Sus scrofa: one gene and its partners. The protein of the gene in region 2 purifies or fractionates together with the protein of the main gene of each other region. This does not show direct contact. Links are inferred from orthologs where the notes say so. Each region holds a gene or a part of one and is shown on either strand. Other genes may lie near its edges. The genes, in order: SIAH1, GAPDH and EEF1A1.

What was found.
Region 1: the proteins of GAPDH (region 2) and SIAH1 purify together in Homo sapiens (affinity purification with western blotting; 4 studies listed by BioGRID). This does not show direct contact. The link is inferred for Sus scrofa from reciprocal best matches to the Homo sapiens genes GAPDH and SIAH1.
Region 3: the proteins of GAPDH (region 2) and EEF1A1 fractionate together in Homo sapiens (co-fractionation; 3 studies listed by BioGRID). This does not show direct contact. The link is inferred for Sus scrofa from reciprocal best matches to the Homo sapiens genes GAPDH and EEF1A1.

What each region holds. Positions count from the first base shown.
Region 1 is NC_010448.4:36,359,239-36,363,471, forward strand, and holds the start of SIAH1 (E3 ubiquitin-protein ligase SIAH1), read left to right. Parts: upstream 1-1,321; 5' UTR 1,322-2,004; coding exon 2,005-2,095; intron 2,096-3,604; exon of another isoform or gene 3,605-3,667; coding exon of another isoform or gene 3,668-3,752; intron 3,753-4,233. UniProt on the Homo sapiens protein: E3 ubiquitin-protein ligase that mediates ubiquitination and subsequent proteasomal degradation of target proteins.
Region 2 is NC_010447.5:64,131,188-64,135,574, reverse strand, and holds the start of GAPDH (glyceraldehyde-3-phosphate dehydrogenase), read left to right. Parts: upstream 1-1,554; 5' UTR 1,555-1,636; intron 1,637-1,909; 5' UTR 1,910-1,927; coding exon 1,928-1,950; exon of another isoform or gene 1,951-2,043; coding exon of another isoform or gene 2,044-2,096; exon of another isoform or gene 2,097-3,724; coding exon 3,725-3,824; intron 3,825-3,903; coding exon 3,904-4,010; intron 4,011-4,131; coding exon 4,132-4,222; exon of another isoform or gene 4,223-4,348; coding exon 4,349-4,387. UniProt on the Homo sapiens protein: Has both glyceraldehyde-3-phosphate dehydrogenase and nitrosylase activities, thereby playing a role in glycolysis and nuclear functions, respectively.
Region 3 is NC_010443.5:92,420,671-92,424,845, forward strand, and holds the start of EEF1A1 (elongation factor 1-alpha 1), read left to right. Parts: upstream 1-1,280; 5' UTR 1,281-1,313; intron 1,314-1,996; 5' UTR 1,997-2,031; coding exon 2,032-2,175; intron 2,176-2,370; coding exon 2,371-2,550; intron 2,551-2,671; coding exon 2,672-2,968; intron 2,969-3,051; coding exon 3,052-3,202; intron 3,203-3,290; coding exon 3,291-3,547; intron 3,548-3,635; coding exon 3,636-3,870; intron 3,871-3,970; coding exon 3,971-4,095; 3' UTR 4,096-4,175. UniProt on the Homo sapiens protein: Translation elongation factor that catalyzes the GTP-dependent binding of aminoacyl-tRNA (aa-tRNA) to the A-site of ribosomes during the elongation phase of protein synthesis.

The DNA of each region.
Region 1 (4,233 bases), on a different chromosome or scaffold from region 2:
AAGGCAGGTTAACTTTTGGAATTATGTAAGTGAATACTTCCATATTTTGGAATCTGTACCACCTGTAATGTACGTAATTTACCCATCTCCCTTAATCCATGTAAAAGCATGCAAGGCTGGCAGTACTGTTCTGATTTTACAGTTGAGTAGGTGGTGAAAGCTGGGTTTGAATCCCAGTGTAGATGACTCCGGAACTCTTCCATTTTTACTGTCGTGACTGACTTACTGAGAAATGTGTCCATAGATTAATGGTTTTCAGACAGTGTTGTAAGCTTCAATACAGGTCCTTTGGAAGTTGGAGGAAAAAAACTTTTTAGTTTGAGGAATTTGTCATCCTTTTTACTTGTTTTACAAATTTGGACTCTGTCTTCATACTGTTTGGAAAGAGTTTTTCTGCCTAAAACATTTAAAAGTCTTCTACTTTAGAAACCCAACACCTAGCTAGAGTGAATATGTATTAAAAAATAAAGACATTGGTAATAATAATTTAGATTTGTCCGTGGACAGATTATATTTTCAGTTATGTTTCAGTTCCTAATGATGTTTTGTCTAATATCAAAATGAGACTGAGGTGACTGAATACTATTAATAGGATGGGGAAGTGATTTGAATTAAAATTTTATGCTGAAAATGGACAATCTACAATTTACACAGGGTTCACTCTCCACTACAAGCTCTTGCTCCCTTTAAAGGCTGCCCTAAGCGTGATGTAATGACAGGTTAAACCTCTGAATGCTGGAGCTGACGCAATGAGAATCTGAGGCCCAGGACTTTATTGGGACAAGGGTAATGCTTGTTTAAAAACAAAACAAGCTATTTTGTTTAATGAGGGCGTTTAAGATGGCTTTCCCAGAGTGGGAAGAGAATAAAATCTCAATTTGGACGTTGAAGTAGAAGTTTAATATGGTTATGTGTTTACGACTCTCACTGCGACGGCTTCTCGAATCGAGAAAGGAAGTTTGAAATAAGGTGCTGACGGCGGTAAAAATGGAGAAGTGAGTTAGAATTGAGGAAATAAGGTAGTTGACATCTGATAAATAGTTAATGAAGTAGACAAATGCTTTTGCTATATAAAAATCCGGAGTTTGCACGGTTAACTGGCAGAGTATAGAGCAGAGAAGAGTGCTTGTCTGGCCACGTATTTTCCATATATTCTATGTAGCGCTATGAAACCACCCCAAATTGCGATATCCGACTGTTTGGGCCTACTGAAACGGAGTGTTTCCACCTCACGTAAGCCGGTGGAAAAGCTGAGGCGTGCGGTATGTCTCCGGGGATCGCGAGGTTCTGCGGAGCTGGGTAGCTGTGTGGGAGTTGCGCGCTGCATGCTCGGGATTCTTGCCAGAGCCGTGCAGGAGCGACTGCGAGCCCTGGAGCCGCCCTAGGCCGAGTGGGGCGGAGCTTGCAGCCCCGCCTCCATGCGCCGGCCCGCCCCTCTCCTGCCGCGGCAGCCACCGCCCTGAGTGCTTTGAGCCTTCGGCCGGCTGGCAATCTGCGTTGGAGCAGGCTCTCCCAGCGGCAGCCCGGCCCAGGCCTCCAAATGGCTCTCCCCGCGGGCCGGACCCTGCAGCGGTAGCTCCAGAGCTGGGACTGAGAGCTGCACCGCTTCGTCCAGTCGCTGCTGCGCACTCTCCAGCCCTGTCCTTCACCGAGCTGGCCAGAGCCTAGCCGATGAATTTGGGAAGACAAACTTGGGAGACAGACGAAGGTTTAGGGCCCAGCAGAGGACAGCTCAGCAATGGCTCCCATTTTTGGAGACGCAGGCGAATTTGAGCTCATGGGGAGGTGTGGTCGACTCCTCTCGGGGCGGGAGGGTGCTTCATTTCTCTGCCGCTGTAGCCGGTGCTTCTGAGGAGTGAATGGAGTGTATGGGGCATGGCACGTGCCTTCCTGTCTTGAAAAGTTGACCCTGGACAAATTTAGGAACGGAAGGTGTCCAGTAGGGCCCTCTGTTACAAATAGTCTCTATTCGTGGGGGAAAGGCTATGAGCTGCCTGGCTTCTCATGACCGGGAAGTCTCCCTTACCTTTTCTGTACTCCTGGAGGGGCGTCTTGCTCACTTGTTTACCAGCATCCGGGACAAGGAAGAGAAAAGGTATTACTGTTAAGAGACTGGGTTGCTTAAATTGTGAATTGGGCAAGTTGTTATAAGCTGGTGGAATTTGAATGGATCAGGGAATGGCTGCAGCGTAATTGAGCTGGAGATGTTTCTTTTGAGCAGCTCTACTTTTCTCAGTTTAAAACAAACTTCAGGTTATGCAATGACTCCTCCAGGGTTGTCCAGACACTTGAATCCTTGATTCCTACTGCAGGTCTGCTGTGTTCTTAGGATTCCTTTTCTGTTTGAAGATGGAGCTGGGTTCCATCTTCTGAGCTTTGGGAGGTTTTAGCAGCTGCTGTCCTGTAATACTTTCATTCATAAGAATTACAAGCTACATTTTGCTTGCTTTTCACACTTTGAATAGGAATTTAAATCGTGCTTTTTCTACAGTGTTTGGAAAAATAATAAATATGTGTTATATCATAAGTCTGAACTATTGATGATAAATGTGTAACTATTTTCCTAGGTCAAGAAATTAAACAGTAATGCTTTGCTTGCTTAGTAGTTATATTATGTTGAATACAAACTGAGTTTACTGCCTCCTGACGCGATTTGTTGTTTTGGCGTAGTGAATTGAAAGGCATTGGTGGCTTAGATCATTTTGTGCTGAAGGAACCACTTCCCAGTTACTACGTTGCTCTCTTAAAATAAGCAGCATAAAATGGACTATGAAGTAAGCATACAGCACACATACAGGGCATTTTGGTAATGCTAAGCCCATTGTTCTGCTAGTGACCTAAAATAAAATGCATAGATCATCATATGCACAAAAAAATCTCCTGGGGAAAACTGGATTACAGGAGAGTTCCTTTATATTGGTCTAGAACACCTGGGTTACACAGGGCTTCAGATGGTAAGAATTGATTCCTGTTGTCTTAAATCCTTGTGATGGGCCACATTATGATAGAATCCTGTGGTACTTTTGTTTCTCCTTGAACTTTAGTCCTTTAGTGACAGTGATCTTTCCGATAGAATAATTACAGTTAGGGAAAATATGAAATCTGAAGAGTTAAATTTTAGTTTGATAGAAATATGGCTTAGGGTTCTTGGGAATATACTCTTAAGGACGTCCGTAGACTGATCTTTTGTCATCCCCAAGAAAATGGCCTACCGTATCCCAGCAAAGGTAGATTCCTGGGAAAAGCTGCTAGTTTATCTTTCATTCACCCTGACACATAGTTAACATTGTTGATCATTTCTTCCAGATGGCATTTATTTCATAAATAGTGTTTATTGGTGTGCTGATGAATGCTTCAGCAACACTGGTGAACTTTAGGGTACGAGGCATTCTTTACCTGTTGACTCTATCCCTCACCTCCACTGTTGTGTGAGTCTCTCTGGTGCTTTTGATCTTTATTTTCTTGACTCTCCTTCACCTTTGCAAATTATACTGGTTTATATTGTAGAATGGAAGTAGAATGATTTACTGTGTCTAAATACTGGACTCAGAACTTTTATGAGAGGATGGCCCTCCATTTCTCTTCTACTTTCTCACTTTTGAAGGGGGCATGGATCAGTAGGAAACAAGATTAATTCCTAGCTGGTGTTAACTTTCCATGAAGATGGATGATGAAGAGGAGGTGGATGGTGGGATGGCAGCAGACCCTTCCCCTTGTCGCCCCTTTCATTCCCCAAATTACTCCTAGAGCAGGTAACCGTTCATCATTAGGAGGAATTAATCAAAGTCAGTACCCTGGTGATCCTTTGGATCACATGTAACTCCCTGGAGCACATGTAACAGCTGACTCAGAATGAGTAGGGGAGGTGGGGGAGAAAGTCCAGTCAAAACTGATTTTATTGCACTTAAGCTCCTTCTTGTTTATGGTCCAGTTTCTATTTTAGCATTTATTCCACGTAGTCCATCCAAGTATGATTTTTAACATTTTTTTTTTTTATTTTTTTTTATTTTTTTGTCTTTTTGTCTGTTGTTGTTGTTGTTGCTATTTCTTGGGCCGCTCCCGCGGCATATGGAGGTTCCCAGGCCAGGGGTTGAATCGGAGCTGTAGCCACCGGCCTACACCAGAGCCACAGCAACGCGGGATCCGAGCCGCGTCTGCAACCTACACCACAGCTCACGGCAACGCCGGATCATTAACCCACTGAGCAAGGGCAGGGACCGAACCCGCGACCTC
Region 2 (4,387 bases):
TGAAAAGCCTGGGCACCGACTGTGCACATGGCTGCCAGCAACAGCCAGCCTTGGATCTGGGGCCCCAAGGAAGGAGGGCAGTCCCAGAAAGGGAAGGGACAGGACAGGCTTGAGTCGGGGTGCGGGGCAGCGTGCTCTCTGCCTTTTAAGCAAAGGTTATCATCCTGCGGGCTAAACTTAGCCACAGGCTTTTCAGCTGGAAAAGGGGGCTGGTCTCAGGTTACGCTGGGCCAGCAAAGAGGCCCCAATTCCTTCCACCAGCACCTGCTAATGGGCAACGTCCATTCCACCCTCCCCCCACCTTCCCTGAACCTTCAACACTTCAAGTCCTCAGAACCAACCCATCTTTCATCCTCTGCTCACAAACCTGGCCCAGCCCCAGCTTCTGAGGGACTGGTCTTGGAGAAGAATGGATTTCCTCCTCCACATCACGTCTGGGAAGGGGCTAGGGGCCCTTGTCCCCACCCTGTGTCCAAGACCTCCCAATCTTTTCCCTCTTATGGACACCTCACCCTGCCCCCAACATCCCCTGGGCGCAGCCAGTGAAAGGGAGGCCCTGACTGCAGGGCTGGCCTGCACGTCCCAGGATGGGGAGGGACTTCCGCTCTCACGTCCTGCTCTGCCCAGGGCTGGATGGGGTGAAAGGGACATTGTCTCCCAGCCCGGGCCGCTCAGCCCTCAAATTTCCCAGGAGCAACTTTGTGGGAGACCTCTGAGCCTCTACCTGGCCAGCCCCCCAAAGCGATCCTGTCCCCTCGCTGAGGCCCCAGCCAGCCAGGGCCTGGGGGAGAGCAGCTGGTGCACACAGGTCCTGGTTTGTCTGCTCGATTCTCAGATGTCCAGGCTGCCTGTCCTGCAGGGCATCGTGACCTTCAGTGCAGAAACTTCCCTCTCAGGCCTCCTTCCGAGCCTCCTTCCTCTCCAGGCCTCCCACTGGCCAGGGCCAGCCGCGGTCCCCAGCCCGGGGAGGCCAGGAGCCAAGAGAAGGGGAGGGGGGAAAGGGGAAGGGGGCTGGAGAGGGCCTTGCTGGAGGCCCCTCCCGGGCCTTTTCCTCTGTAGTTCCTGGGTCACTACCGAAGAGCCTCGAGAAGTTCCTCAATCTTCCCGCTTCTCAGCTTTTGAAGGGGGGGGGGTAGGGGAGACTGCAGCCGCGAGCTGCGAGCCGCGCCCCCAACCCCGGGTTCCGCTCCAATTTCCCATCCCACTGGCTCCCCATATCCTCCCGTTACATCCCTGCAGCAACTTTAACGTCCCTGGCTCCTTGGGTGTCCTCAGTTTTCGCCAGGGCCCCCTCCTCCTAGTCCACTGCCCCCTGCAGTACAACCCCAACCGGGCCAGGCAGCATCACCGGTCCCCTCCCCCTCTCCGTCCTCAGCCCACTTGTGTGGCGCGTGCACATTGGCAGAACCAGGCGGGTCCAAAGGAAAAAAAAAGAAGAAGTGGGGGTCGGCTACTCGCGACTTTACGGGCGCACGTAGCTCAGGCCTCCGCTGCTGGAGCTAGGACTGGGCGAGGCGAGCCCACGTCACCCCGCCCCCGCCCCGCCCCCTGCCCTATAAATTCCGGCTGCAGCCTTCCCCTGCGCTCTCTGCTCCTCCCCGTTCGACAGACAGCCGTGTGTTCCGTGCATTGCCAGGTAAAGCCTGGCGGAGTGGAGCCACAAGGGTTCGAGGACTGGTCCGAAAGGGACCGGGGGCCGTGCGCGGTCTGGGAGTGTGGGTGCGGGGCCCCGGCTGGAGCCGGAGTTGTGGCTGCGCCGGGCCGGGCCCCTGCATTGCGGGTTGAGGGGGAGGAAGGACGTGCAGAAGAGCAGAGCGAGGATGGAGGCCTGGGGGAGGGGCGGGGAGGGCACCGTCGGGCTCCAGCCGCTTTGCCCCGCGATCTAATGTTCTCTTTCCTCTGCCGGCAGCCGCGTCCCTGAGACACGATGGTGAAGGTCGGAGTGAACGGGTGAGTTAGGGGGTGGGGCAGGGTGGGGCAGTAAGTACTGCAGCCCCCACCAAATTGCGTCCGCAGGTCTCGCCCTACCGGGTCTGTGCAAGCATGTGGGGGACTTGGATGGGGTGGTCGTACCCCACCCCCAAGGAGAACTCAAGGTCAGCGCTCGGACCTGGAGGAGGCCCTCGCAAGGCCTCGTGTCCCCCATCCCTGGCTGTTGCGCGTTCTGTAACTCCGCCTCTGCGGAGCCTTCCTCTTCACCTGCCGCAGATACACAGCCCTGGAGTCTCCAATTCTTGCTTTGGCCCCATCCCCTAATCCCCCAGCTGGGGCTCTTTCTTTCCTTTCGCGCCCTGCGGGGTCACGTGAAGGGGAGGAGCCCATCCCCCCAGCCGCAACCAGTGCCCCCAGCCGGGCAGCCCCGGGATGCAGGAGGCACAGCTGCTGTGCAGAACCAGCTGGGAGGGGGCATCTGCGGTAACCTAGCCGCCATGTTGCAACTAGGAAGGAAATGAATGAACCGCCGTTAGGAAATCTTCCTGAGTCCTTCAATCTTTCTCCTTACTTGCCCATGACTAAGCCTTCTACCCCTGCCTCGTGGGGTGGAGTCTCCTTTATCCGGTAACCCAGGTCCGGCCACGCTTTCCCCTTCTTAGTCAGCTGGACCTCAGCTCTTAGCAAACTAACCCTAGAGCATCCCTTCAAGCCCCAGCCAGATTCCCCCCCCCGGGGATGAGGGGATGCTTTTTCTGGATGGTTCTCTGATGAATCAAAAACGGGGCTTTATGGGGGTGGTCTTGGGTTGTTTCCGGGTTGTTTCCCTTCTCTTTCTCCGGAGAGGTGTGGTAGCGTTGGCTTGGTGCCATGCCGGGGGAGCTGAGTCATGGGTACTTAGAAATTTTCCACAAAATGGCTCCCGGAGCCGGCGGAGCCGCAGCCCCTGTCTCTGCATCAGTGCTCCTTGAAGCTGCTTCCTTCCATCCATGCCTAGGGTTGACCCCACCCTAAAGGCCAAGCTGTAAAGGTCACCAGGAGGATTAGATGTCCGTGAGCCTCGGGAATCCTGCCCTTCTCCCCATCCCCTCTTCCAGAAACCAGATCCCCACTCCACCCTAAGCTGGGGTTAAATATAGCTGCCTGACCTTTCTGCAGCTGGGGGCCTGGGCTTCTCCCTCTCCTTCCCCCCCGCTCCCCACACGTCTATTGCTCCCACTCCTGATTTTGGGAAAAGAGCTAACAAAGACAGGTTCCTAACAAATCAGAAGCCCGGGATTCTGGGTTTGAGAAACGGCTTTCCCTTTTGTAGGAGGGACTTGGGGAAGGGGGGGGGTTTCCCTGGCCAGTTAACTTCTGACCTTTGCTCTTGCCCTTTGAGCTGGGTGATGCCAAGTGTGCAAGATTTTGCTCCCTAGAGGGTGTGGCCTGAAGCTGGCCAGATAGGAACAAGCATTTACCGACAGTGGGCCTGAGGAATGCCATGTGCCGGCCATGTGCCCAGACTGTAGGTGGCAGCAGCAGTGCACCACCCTGTCACCCCTTAACAGATTTCAGATGACCAGGGGGTGTGGGCCTGTCTCGGAGCTTCATCACCTCTTGGGCAGGATGGGAGCTTTTCACTTTGTGGCTGTGCTGGGAAGCCAGGCTGGTCTGGCAGGGTTGTGCGAGGAGGAGGAAATGAGATCTCCTGGTAGGAAAGTGCCCGCGCTGACAGCGGGCGCGTGGGCCTGGGACTGCTTACATCTCCAGGAGAGCTCACTCCTCCCTCCTCGCCTCTTGTCCCCCTCAGATTTGGCCGCATCGGGCGCCTGGTCACCAGGGCTGCTTTTAACTCTGGCAAAGTGGACATTGTCGCCATCAATGACCCCTTCATTGACCTCCACTACATGGTGAGTGGCCCCCGTGGCGGGGGCGGGGACAGAGCCTGCCAGGGCGCAGCCCCTTGATGCCCTCCCTCGTCCCCCCCAGGTCTACATGTTCCAGTATGATTCCACCCACGGCAAGTTCCACGGCACAGTCAAGGCGGAGAACGGGAAGCTTGTCATCAATGGAAAGGCCATCACCATCTTCCAGGAGTAAGTATGGAAGACGGAACCGGAAGAGCTTTGCCTTGGAGGAGGTGGTGCTGGGACGGGGTGACCACCTTGGGTCTGTGGTCCCCCGCGCCCCTGAACTTTGTCCTGTCTTCCCTTCTAGGCGAGATCCCGCCAACATCAAATGGGGTGATGCTGGTGCTACGTATGTTGTGGAGTCCACTGGTGTCTTCACGACCATGGAGAAGGCCGGGGTGAGCGGCAGGGAACCGAAAGAGGAGGGGACCTAACCGCGGGGTTGGTGTAGCGGGGAGACTGGGGGAGGCTGACTTGGACCAGGAAAGGGGAAGCCCGGGTGTCTGACTGCTCCTCTGCTGCAGGCTCACTTGAAGGGTGGGGCCAAGAGGGTCATCATCTCT
Region 3 (4,175 bases), on a different chromosome or scaffold from region 2:
ATTTGTTGATAGATTGGCTCAAAAAGTTGCAGTAGTGCTCTACACGTGGAAGAGACGATCTAGTAATTAGCTCATTTAAAATAAAGGTTCCTCTTTCTTCAGGAATATTTTTGAATATCTGCCTGATTGCCAACCAAAAAGGCCTCATCTTGTCTTGCCCTGGATTTATGCCTAAAATGCAGTCACAATGGATAGGACGACAAAAGATGAAGCCGTTTATTCAAATGGGATAGGCCATTTTTGAGAAACAGTGATTTCACAGCAAACGTTGGAGTAGTAAATTGGGTGGATAAGCTTCCTGGCGCTGTAGATCTTAGTCTCTACTTGAGATCGTGTATAAGCACTGAACTCAAAAAATTCTTTTTAGGTTTTTCATGCTTGCAACCAAGAGTATACACTGGAAAAAAAATGTTAATAGGAGGGTAGACACACACTCAGGGTCTTAAACGTAATAAAATTAGGATTAGAAGTAAAGAAAACTGTAGTACTTAAGTCTATTCTAAACTCAAAAACTGGACGTCTGGAGTACCACGTGGTGTGTAGAACGAACTTAGATAAAAGAACTGAATGGAAAAAGCCAAGAGGTCAGCGCAGGAGCCTGTTCGCCAGGCTGTTGGTCAGCAAACTGAGCCACTCGCGGATTCTCGGCCCTGAAGACCGCCCCGAGGCCCCTGCCGCCGCGGTTCCCCGGCCTTTTACGCCTCCCTCTCCAGCCGGAAGGGGCGCGGACGGCAAGGGCGGTGGAGAAGCCCCGGCAGAGGAAGCGGCTCCAGGGGTTAGTCCTTAACCTGCGAGACCGCAAGACTGAGGACCGGTGGGGTACTGCCGGGTAAGGGCTCCCATCTCGGTCCAACTTTGCAGTTAAGCTACGACCGGTTCAGGGAAGATTCTGGACGCCTCCCCGCCGCCCCACCCCCCAGCTGTGCGGAGAGTAATTCATACAAAAGGAGGACTCTCCTCAGCCAGGGAAATCCCAGGGACCGTCGATAAACTCCCACTAAACCTAGAACCGAGTGAGCGCTCGACCCCGCCTCCCACCCACCAGCAGTCGTCATCCTCCTGGTTGAGAGGAGCATGCGCCGGGCGCCGTGTGCTCGTCAGTGGGCTGAACGCACATCGCCCACGGTCCCCGAAGATGGGGGGAGGGGACGGCGGTGGAACCGGTGCCGGGTGGAGGTGGCGCGGGGTAAACTGGGAAAGTGGTGTCGTGTGCTGGCTCCGCCCTTTTCCCCGAGGGTGGGGGAGGACCATATATAAGCGCCGTGGTCCCCGCGAACGTTCTTTTTCGCAACGGGTTTGCCGCCAGGACACAGGTGAGTACGGGTGTGGCCTCCGTCCGCATGGCCTCCGCCGGTGGCCACGGCCTTAGCGTGCCTCCCGGCCCCCCGCGCGTAGAGGGCTCTGCGCCCTGGTCCTGATTCCGAGCTGCGGGCGGGGGGAGGTGGAGAACTCGAGGCCCTCCGCTCTCGCGGTTCCCTACCGCGTGCCCGGTGGCGGCCTGCTGGGGCGCCGTGGCCGCCGCGTGCGATCCGCGCCTTCGCGCCCGCCCCGTCTGTCTTCGCGCTCGAGTTCGGCCGGCAGCCGCGTGTTACTGCCAGGGCGGCCCAGCCGAGGCCGCCCAAGGTGGCCTCCGTGCCCGGCGGTCCCGGGGCAGACGGCCGCGGCGGGGCGGGGCGGGCGGTCGGAGACCCAGCGCCCCGCCCGGGCGGGCTGCGAGCGCGGAAAGATGGCCGCTCCCGGTCTCAAGATGGAGGACGCGGACGGCGGGCGGCGCACAAAGGGCCGGGCGGTGCTGCCCGCGCCGCTTCCCGGGACTCGCGGCCCGGGTGGGGGAGGGGCTGGGCGCCGGGGCGGCCCCGTTCGCTGGGTGTAGGCCGGGCAGGGCCCGCAGGGCGCCGGTGCTAATGCTCCCTGGAGTTTGCCCTTGGCTGTTGGGGTTGTGCCTGAGTCTCCGGTCGTCGGGACAGTAGTTTAAAGAAGGTTTTTGTCGTCTTAGGTGTCGTGAAAGCCATCGCTAAAAGCTAAGCAAAAATGGGAAAGGAGAAGACTCACATCAACATCGTCGTCATCGGACACGTCGATTCGGGCAAGTCCACCACTACTGGCCATCTGATCTACAAATGCGGTGGGATCGACAAAAGAACCATCGAAAAGTTCGAAAAAGAGGCTGCGGAGGTCGGTAAAGTAACGTCAGCAAATTAAGTGGTAGTTCTCTAAAACTAGTGTATATCTGACTTGAACTAGTACATTGCAAAGTTTGCTAAGTGGCTTAACTCCAGCCAAGTTTAGGAGATGGAAGTGAAACCTAGCATTGCTTCCAAGTGGGACTAAGGAGTTTAGTTACCGAGTAACCCTTCTTAATCCCTGCAGATGGGAAAGGGCTCCTTCAAGTATGCCTGGGTCTTGGACAAACTAAAGGCTGAACGTGAGCGTGGTATTACCATTGACATCTCCCTGTGGAAATTCGAGACCAGCAAGTACTACGTGACCATCATTGATGCTCCAGGACACAGAGACTTTATTAAGAACATGATTACAGGCACTTCCCAGGTTTGTAGGATTAAGAACTCCTGAGAGTAACATTTTGAGTTATCTATAAATTGGCGAAACCATGGATCTGTCCTTTTTGGAGAGGTTTTCACAGGGTGTGGCCTTTTTTTCTTTTTTAAAGGCTGACTGTGCTGTCCTGATTGTTGCTGCTGGTGTTGGTGAATTCGAAGCAGGTATTTCCAAGAACGGGCAGACCCGTGAGCATGCTCTTCTGGCCTACACCCTGGGTGTGAAACAGCTCATTGTTGGCGTTAACAAAATGGATTCCACTGAGCCACCCTACAGCCAGAAGAGATATGAAGAGATTGTAAAGGAAGTCAGCACCTACATTAAGAAAATTGGCTACAACCCTGATACAGTAGCATTTGTGCCAATTTCTGGCTGGAATGGTGACAACATGCTGGAGCCAAGTGCTAATGTAAGTGGTTTTGATGAGTTCTCAAAACTTAAGTCTGGGAAGGGATAAGTTTGAAAACACTAATTGATGATCTTGTGTTTTAGATGCCTTGGTTCAAGGGATGGAAAGTCACCCGTAAAGATGGCAATGCCAGTGGAACCACACTGCTTGAAGCTCTGGATTGCATTCTACCACCAACTCGTCCAACTGACAAGCCCTTGCGCCTGCCCCTCCAGGACGTCTACAAAATTGGTGGTAAGTTGAACGTTACACTCAGCTGGTATGGGTTGCAGTGATGTTTGTCTTCATACGAGATAATTATGCTGTGCTGTGAATACTTCAGGTATTGGTACAGTCCCTGTGGGCCGAGTGGAGACCGGTGTTCTCAAACCTGGCATGGTGGTCACCTTTGCTCCAGTCAATGTTACAACTGAAGTCAAGTCTGTTGAAATGCACCATGAAGCTTTGAGTGAAGCCCTTCCTGGGGACAACGTGGGCTTTAATGTCAAAAACGTGTCTGTCAAAGACGTTCGTCGTGGCAATGTGGCTGGTGACAGCAAAAATGACCCACCTATGGAAGCAGCTGGCTTTACAGCTCAGGTAACACTTCAGTGACAGGTTTTTAAACTGCCAGAACCTTAACTGTCTAAATGTCTAAAATGTGCTAAATGCAAATTTTCTCCCTAAGGTGATTATCCTGAACCATCCTGGCCAGATCAGTGCTGGTTACGCACCTGTGCTGGATTGCCACACAGCTCACATTGCCTGCAAGTTTGCTGAACTGAAGGAGAAGATTGATCGTCGTTCTGGGAAAAAGCTGGAAGATGGCCCCAAGTTCTTGAAATCTGGTGATGCTGCCATTGTCGATATGGTTCCTGGCAAGCCCATGTGTGTTGAGAGCTTCTCTGACTATCCTCCTCTGGGTAAGAGTGCCTTTTTAGTGTAATTAAGCTTCAGTAAAAATGGAAAAGCAGTTATGTAGAGAAAGTGTTTCTCATGGTGATTTAATTTTTGTTTTAATAGGCCGATTTGCTGTTCGTGACATGAGACAGACAGTTGCTGTGGGTGTCATCAAAGCTGTGGACAAGAAGGCAGCTGGAGCTGGCAAGGTCACCAAGTCTGCTCAGAAAGCTCAGAAGGCTAAATGAATATTATCCCCAATACCTGCCACCCCAGTCTTAATCAGTGGTGGAAGAACGGTCTCAGAACTGTTTGTCTCAATTGGCCA